2 linked regions of the Tribolium castaneum genome follow. The protein of the gene in region 1 purifies or fractionates together with the protein of each later gene. This does not show direct contact. Links are inferred from orthologs where the notes say so. Each region holds a gene or a part of one and is shown in the gene's direction. Other genes may lie near its edges. The genes, in order: AP-2alpha and Nak.

Region 1 (4,268 bases):
TAAAAAAAAAAATCGGGACTAAAACAGTACACAAACAATTTGTAGCCCACGTTGACGATGATATTTTGTAATTTTTTACGTTAGCGTTTTAAAATTTCGCCATTACACTACTTTTTTTTGGCGAACCACCCATTAAGAAACACTTACTCTAGCCAACCGATTTTGTAAAATGAGGTATGATATAATAGTTTTTGGAATCGTTTAGTTAAGAAGGACGCTTCACAAATCTTAAACTTAATTTTCGACGGAATATCTGTTTTTTTTTAGATTTATAGACAATTTAATGGATTAGATGACTTTAATTGCAATTTTGAAAAGAAAAACGTCTAAGTCAACAATTTTTATGTAAAAAAAATTCAGTACTTAAAGGGAAGAAATAAAATAAAAACACTGCTAAAACTAAATGTATATGGTTTGGCGTTTGTCATAATTTTCTTCTTAACAATTGTTAAGGGACCGTGGTTGAAACTTGATTCATTTTTTCACTTTTTTTTGTTACACTTGCTCCAAAGTTTTATGAATTCTTAGCTGAAGACCCGGGGGTGCGCGGCCGCTTGAACGAATGCCTAGAAACGATATTGAATAAAGCGCAGGAGCCTCCAAAATCGAAGAAAGTGCAACACTCAAATGCTAAAAATGCCGTACTGTTCGAGGCCATTAGTTTAATTATTCACAATGACAGGTATATTTATTTATTTTGAAATTTGAAAAGTCTCATTTTGTTATGTATACAGCGAAGCGAATTTGTTGGTGCGTGCTTGTAACCAGTTGGGCCAATTTTTGAGTAATAGAGAAACAAATTTACGTTATTTGGCTTTGGAGTCGATGTGTCATTTAGCAACGTCTGAATTTTCCCACGAGGCTGTTAAGAAACATCAGGAAGTTGTTATCTTGTCGATGAAGATGGAAAAAGATGTTTCAGTGAGGCAACAAGCCGTTGATTTGTTGTACGCTATGTGTGATAAGAGCAATGCTGAGGAAATCGTCCAAGAAATGTTGAATTATTTGGAAACGGCTGATTACTCAATTAGGGAAGAAATGGTCCTAAAAGTTGCGATTTTGGCCGAGAAATACGCCACGGATTACACTTGGTAAACCAAGCCTGATTTTCGTAACACTTTTTTACGTTTTTTGTCAGGTATGTTGATGTTATTTTAAATTTGATAAGAATCGCTGGCGATTATGTGTCGGAAGAGGTGTGGTATCGAGTGATCCAAATCGTTATCAACCGAGATGAAGTGCAAGGTTACGCCGCTAAAACTGTCTTTGAAGTAGGTCTCATTTGAGTCCATAATTCAGCTAACAATTTTTTTGAAGGCTTTGCAAGCACCCGCCTGTCACGAGAACATGGTCAAAGTCGGGGGTTACATCCTGGGAGAGTTTGGCAATTTAATCGCCGGGGATCAGAGATCCTCACCCTCAGTTCAATTCCAACTTCTCCACTCAAAATACCACTTATGTTCGCCGATGACTCGAGCTTTGTTACTCTCGACTTACATCAAATTCATCAATTTGTTCCCCGAAATACGGACTCAAGTACAGGAAGTTTTCAAACAGCACAGCAACCTGAGGTCGGCTGACGCCGAATTGCAACAACGAGCTTCGGAATATTTGCAATTGAGTATTATTGCAAGTTCGGACGTTTTGGCCACAGTATTGGAGGAAATGCCGGCGTTCCCCGAACGAGAGAGCTCGATTCTTGCTGTTTTGAAGAAGAAAAAACCAGGACGGGTCCCAGAAAATGAAATTAAGGAGAACAAAAGTCCCACACCTGTGACCAACCACAACAACGATGTAAATAACAGCAGTGCTGTCTCTGGCGATTTGTTGGGTCTGTCGACTCCGCCAACAGCGCAGCCCAACTCCGGAAACACCGGGGTGCTCCTGGACGTCCTTGGGGACATCTACGGGGGCAAACAGGCGAACAACTCGAACAGTGCCACTCAACCGGTCAACATGTACAACCCCAAGAAGTAAAAACGTTGTTTGCACCCGGTGGTAATTATTTGAATCGTGTTCTTTCAGGTTCGTGTGTAAAAACAACGGCGTTTTATTCGAAAGTGACTTGATCCAGATAGGCGTTAAAAGCGAGTTCCGCCAGAATTTGGGCCGACTTGGCTTGTTTTACGGAAATAAGACTAACGTTCCGTTGCAAAATTTCGTCCCGACCTTGTCTTGGCCCGACGATCAGGCTTCCAAGCTCACCATTCAGATGAAGCCTGTTGAGCCGGTCCTGGAAGCTGGTGCTCAAATCCAACAGATGATCAACGCGGAGTGTGTCGATGACTACACGGGCGCCCCCAGCATAGTGCTCAGTTTCCTGTATCTCAACGTGCCCCAGAAAATAACGATCAAACTTCCATTGACGATTAACAAGTTCTTTGAACCGACTGAAATGAACGGCGAATCCTTCTTCGCAAGGTGGAAAAACCTCGGAAGGTAATTTCCGGGACGCAGTGAGCAGGGTCTGATTGTTTGTTGCAGTACGAACCAGCAAAGATCTCAGAAGATATTTAGGGCGACACAGCAGATGGACTTGCAAGCCGCGCGAACAAAAATAATGGGATTCGGGATGCAACTCCTGGACGGGATTGATCCAAATCCGGATAATTTCGTCTGTGCTGGGATTATCCACATGCGGTCGCAGCAAGTCGGATGTCTTCTTCGTTTAGAGCCGAACAAGAGTGCACAAGTAAGTGGTTCCCGCGGCTTTGAATTTCGTAACTGTTTTCTTTTTTTTGGCAGATGTACAGACTGACGGTGCGCTCTAGTAAAGAAAGCGTCTCGATAGAAATTTGTGATCTTCTAGCGGATCAATTTTAATTAATTTAGAAAATTGTGTAAGTAAGAGTGCATTCCATAGTAGACTTACCTTATTGTTTAAAAATTAATATATTGAAATTTGCACAGACATGCGCTCTTTTTTCGTTTGAGATTCGCTTACAGTAAAATATTAGAAAGAGGATGTTCTTTGAGACAATATGTAAGTGTGTGACGTTAGTGTTGCTTGTTGACAGTTAATTTATAGAGATATGAATTTTTTGCTGAATTCATAACATTAGACCTCTATTCGGAAGAAAAGGGTCCATTGCGGAAAATTAAATGTACAATAAACGTTTTTTGTTGAGACAGATCTGCTGCACTCGAATTAAACCAAAAACTAAGGTGGGTCAAACGATCTTCTTGAATGTATATTAAAAATTCAATATGAAATAAAACTATATCATTAGAGACGTGTAACTTGTGTTATATTGTTATATCATACCAGAGGATGGTCGACGAGTTGGTAATGAATCGTTCTTCAGATGAGGAGTTTATTGAAACAGTTGACTTTCTACTGTCCTCAGATATATTTTTTACCATTTATTACAATAACTGATTACGTTGTGTAGTATGCCTTGAATTATTATTTGTATATGTTGATTGTATAAATAAGTAAAATATTGATTTAGTAATACAAACTCTTTGCAATTCCATTTTTGTATTCCTATTTTTTATATCATCTACAAAGTGCATGATACTTTATGTAAAAATAATATTGTGTAATATATGAATTCAAAGCTAAAGTTGTTGTAACATTATATGCGATTATTTAACATTTTTGTGTTTCTGTTGTATTGATGCTTCAATTACAAAAAATCACCGTCAACATTTTTCATTACTAACCCGACTAATTTTTCCATCCGAACTGATATTTAGGTAACGTCTTTACCTCAGTTCTTATACCACTATTTTACGCATGACTTCATGCCCATCATTCGGACATCAGCGGTTAAAAAATTTAAACAAAAGCGCTTCCTTCTCATTTCAACCCAAGGTAAGTAAAACATGAAGTCACCATTACGGGTTCACTTGCACCAATCCATTGATTGCACTTGATAATGGAAGTGTCGTAACATCCTGAATTTTTAAATGGTCGAAGGTTGGACCAATTTATTGTAATGCGGCTTTTTGCAAACAAGGACAATTTTATAAGTGACTGTTCCGGTCTATCTGTTGCCCATAAAATGCGTTCGATAACATAATGAGCGATTTTTTCGCTCGTAACGTAAATTCAACTGGAGGAAACTACTTTTATGCAAAGAAAAAACCAAAACGGTAAGTGCATAATAAATTTTTTTACCTGAATGACGGCGAACTACCGGTTCAGTGGCGGGTATAATAATAGTTTACGAACTCAGAATTATAAAATACATCAAATTAAGTTGTGCAAGATCACTAGCTTATCTTTCAGCAATGAATAATAATTCGCACGGAACACTAACTCG
Region 2 (4,342 bases), on another chromosome or scaffold:
AGGAGTCAAAGATATTCTTTGACTTCCCCTTCGCCTTTTTTATGAATGCGCATAATTTTTGAGACCTTTAATGACGATGGAAAACAATTCTCTAAAGCATCTATTTATAATTTCTGTTAGACGTTCTGTAGGAACTTTATTATGTTAACATTTATACCATATGGATCAAGTGAATTATTATTTTTAAATTCTTTTTTGGCATCTCTAAATGATTTAAAACATACATGCTGAAAGCTAGAGCTCCTATCTTCAACAGTTTAAGTAGAAATTAATTTCCAAATACTTAACTTCTGGGAAAATGGACCGAAATAGTCTCCTGAGCATCTTTAAATGTCCTTGGGACTTGAACTGTTGAAGATAGATATGGTCTCGCGGACATTTTTTAAAGAAAATTTAATTCTCTACAACTTTCTTAACAGTATTCGCAGCGTTTTGAAAAATGTGGGACAAAGCGCAATTTTACATTTGGAATAATTTGTTTCATATGTTTCTCATGAAGATTTTAGTCGGCAGTTTTTTGCAGCCTGTTAAGAGTGCAAAGCTTTGTATTTTTCCAAGTGATTAATGAATTGGTTGAATTTAAGTTAGTTTAAATCGATATTGGCGTCAAATAACGCTTGAAGCGCCCTCTTTTGTACTCTGGCGTACTATTTTTTTGGGCACAGAAAATCGTTCGTTTCCTAATCTATGGTCCTCTGTAGTTCAAAGTGTCTACAAATTGAATGAATAATTAATTACCCATCATGCCGCCCCACATGTTGGGCCCCAAACTGGACCCGTTTTGGATCGGGATAACATCCTGCGAGCTGGACATGTTCGAATCTGAATCATCGCGAGACTTATCGGTGTCCCTTCGATCCCTATCCCTTCGCTCAATGCGGCGTCTGTCCCTTTTGTCTGAAGGACTTAAACTTGAGTCGTCTTTGTCGTCCACTGAGCGTGCCACTGAAGTCTTATTCTTGTTCATGTTGAATTCCAAAGGAGAGTCGTTTAAACCGGGAGGAAAAATGGAAAAATCGCTGGCATCTGATGGAACGAACCCTGACTGACCTCCGGTGGGCACTATTGCCCCATTTCCTACAAAAAAGGACAAAAGGAATAACACAACGACAATTGCAACGGAATTTACCCAAAGGTTGGTTGTTGAATTGAAAACTCATGGTTACAGTGAGTTTCTAAGGAAAAATAGCAACAAAACAGTTCATTTTTTATCGACCTGCCAAACTTGCCGAGGATTGACGATTGAACTTCCCCGACTGTTCACAAGAACGAATTCGTTAAAAAAAATAGAAAACAATTAATTAGTAGAATTAGGGAGACACCAAAGAGCGTAGTTGGCAAAACTAATTCAGTTTTGGTCATTTTTGTGTTTGCTTATTGGAGTTTAGTATTTGATAAAATTTATTCGGTTGGGGGAACGTTCGGTTGGGGAGTCACATGTTAGTTGTCAATCTAACGTCAGACTTTCTTAAACGTCACTGACACTGTTATGCGGACAATTATTTTAATCAATTAATAAAAATAGTCGATTTGAAGCGGTAGCAAGTGTGAGGTGGGCTGTCGTAACGGTCTGGAGCCAGAAAATTGATGGGGAATCCGCATTCACTCACCAAACTCAATGTGTCATAATTTCCAATTAAGTGTCAATCACGATGAAAAAACTGTTTTCTAAAATCGAAACTAAAATAGATAACACTTCGAAGGAAGGTAACAGTTACATAGGAAAAGTGTTCACAGTCGGCCGCCAAACGGTAACCGTCGAGGATATTCTAGCCGAAGGTAGTAGCATGTTTCAATTCGGGGGGGCGTATAATCCCCATTGCTTGCTTTAGGTGGTTTTGCGATCGTGTATCTGGTAAAGGGCACCAATGGCACGCGCTACGCACTCAAACGAATGTACGTTAATAACGAGCAGGACCTTAACGTTGCCAAACGTGAAATTCAAATCGCTGTAAGTCACTTTAATTCATTCAAATTTTATTACTATTGAGGCACGTAACGGTTTTTAGAGCAGTTTAAGTGGCCATAAAAACATCATTGGTTATGTAGATTCCAGTTTGACGGCCACAGGAGGGGGCGTTTATGAAGTATTGTTGTTGATGCCTTATTGTCAGGAAAACGTTTTCGGTCTTATGAAACAACGTGGCAAAGCGAATTTTACGGAACATGAAGTTCTGACCATTTTCTGTGATACTTGCGAGGCCGTGTCACGATTGCATCACTGCAAAACTCCAATAATTCATCGTGATTTAAAGGTTTTTTGCACTTGATGGCAACACTCTAAATAACTCAGCTTTGGTTACTTGCAGGTAGAAAATATTTTGGTAGGTGAAAATGGTAACTACGTGATATGTGATTTTGGTTCGGCCACTGCGAAAGTATTAAACCCGGCTGATAAGGGGGTTGCTCCCGTTGAAGAAGAGATTAAACGGTACACAACACTGAGTTATAGGGCACCTGAGATGGTCGACATGTATTGTGGCAAACCAATCACGACGAAAGCTGATATTTGGGTAAAAAACACAACATTACAAAGTAATTTGTCTTTAATTTAATCAATTGCAGGCTCTTGGCTGTTTATTGTATAGATTATGCTTTTTTACGTTACCGTTTGGTGAAAGTACTTTAGCTATACAAAGTGGGAACTTTAGCATTCCAGATAATTCGAAATATTCGAAAGGTTTACATCAGCTAATGCGTAAGTTTATCAGTAGTAAATCTCCTCGAAGGACAGGGAACTTAATTAAGGGAACTTACTTAAATTTTGTCAGTCATTCCATTTTATCAGACGAGACACTACACATATTTTTAGATTTTATTTACTGTTTTTATGAACAGTATCAGTAGAAGTCAATTTAAACTGTTTGCAATCTACAATTAGAGCCACATTTGTAAAATTAGAAATAGGAGCAGAAATTAAAACAAATTGACGGACAGGACACAAAAAAGACTTTTTTATTGTTAAACAATCGTAAAATTTTGATAATTTAAAAGCACTAATTCTAACAATTATTTTTGAAGTAAGACTTTTTAAATTTTTAAAACCACGAAGTCGAAGAACAGAGCAATGTGTAACGACTTCTGATTAATTTACTTTTTGTTTACACATAACGGATGGGACAAAAAATCCACTATAATAAATCTTTTGGGTCATAAACATTCCTTCGTCTGCTCGGAAGCATGATGTTTTTTTTTTATAACATCAATTTTTTATTTTTTAATCGTGTAAATTATTAAATGTAAATAATTTACTCAAAATGTATTAATATTGTGTTACATAAATTAAATGAGTAATTATTTAATGTGTTAGCTTAAAAAGCTAAGCTAAGTAAAGTAAGGTTTTACTGTTCTAATTAAATAAAAATAATATATTTTTTTTAATATTTTGAACTCAACAACTAGTTATTTGTTTGTGTGTGTTACCCATTAAAACGGTCGATTTACTGGAGACGAACTAAACTTTCATTGAAACTGCACCAATTTGAATTTAGTTGTCATTTATTATGAATGGACTAATGTTAAATTAATCAGAAATTGAAATTTGATTGTAATTAAATATGTAAACGAATCATATGGGTTTTATTAGTTTTAGTTTGTCAATGTAAAATAAATTAAAGTAAATGAAGTGTGCAATCTCCCGACAGAACTTGTTTGAACGGAAACTAGGAAAAAAGAGTATTCTTAATTAAAAATTTAAATGAAAAGTTTTATCCAAACTCTTTGTGATAAAGAATGACAAAGAAAACTCCAATGATGGCGTTCACAATTAATTACGTTAGTGCTAATGCGTTTACAAAAAAAGACACCTTAGGAAGTTATAACAGTTTTAACGACGTTTATTCTTTTTATTCATTTATTTTGTTATAGTCACTTAATGATCAATTCACTTTTACAAATCATTACCTTCTTACTTTAAAATTAGCGCAGAATATTTTTTATAATGTAAGTATTAAATAATTAAAATTTTATTTTACCTTAAAAAAATGAAACATCAAATTATTCTTTACTCTCTTTACGCGATATAGTCATTTTTGATTAATTGAGGAGGTTTACAATTGCAATCAAATTTTTATTTCACTAATTTGACTTTTGTCAATGCAAAGTAAAAGATAACTTACTTTGATTTAATTTAACGACGTTTACGACCTAAAAGATTTATTGCTGTGGTTTGCACTCAGCCTCGTACTACCCGGGCCGGTTTATAGGGGTCACATTCTTTATGATCGTGACTGTACATCAGTTGTCAAGAATTTATTATATTATATACCTTATAGCCTACAAGGCAATGTATGTAAATATTACTTCAATTTAAATGGCTATTCTCTCCAATTTTAAATCTAGA

Evidence for each region.
Region 2: the proteins of AP-2alpha (region 1) and Nak purify together in Drosophila melanogaster (affinity purification with western blotting; 3 studies listed by BioGRID, with this or other methods). This does not show direct contact. The link is inferred for Tribolium castaneum from reciprocal best matches to the Drosophila melanogaster genes AP-2alpha and Nak.

Annotation. Positions count from the first base shown.
Region 1 is NC_087403.1:6,346,297-6,350,564, forward strand, and holds the end of AP-2alpha (AP-2 complex subunit alpha), read left to right. Parts: intron 1-528; coding exon 529-682; intron 683-734; coding exon 735-1,091; intron 1,092-1,138; coding exon 1,139-1,271; intron 1,272-1,317; coding exon 1,318-1,973; intron 1,974-2,025; coding exon 2,026-2,439; intron 2,440-2,484; coding exon 2,485-2,692; intron 2,693-2,745; coding exon 2,746-2,823; 3' UTR 2,824-3,649; downstream 3,650-4,268. UniProt on the Drosophila melanogaster protein: Adaptins are components of the adapter complexes which link clathrin to receptors in coated vesicles. Clathrin-associated protein complexes are believed to interact with the cytoplasmic tails of membrane proteins, leading to their selection and concentration.
Region 2 is NC_087394.1:25,678,696-25,683,037, forward strand, and holds the start of Nak (serine/threonine-protein kinase sel-5), read left to right. Parts: upstream 1-1,426; 5' UTR 1,427-1,652; coding exon 1,653-1,779; intron 1,780-1,832; coding exon 1,833-1,951; intron 1,952-2,009; coding exon 2,010-2,255; intron 2,256-2,309; coding exon 2,310-2,513; intron 2,514-2,565; coding exon 2,566-2,698; intron 2,699-4,342. Other genes in the region: ecto-NOX disulfide-thiol exchanger 2, read right to left, coding at 739-1,077, 1,130-1,160.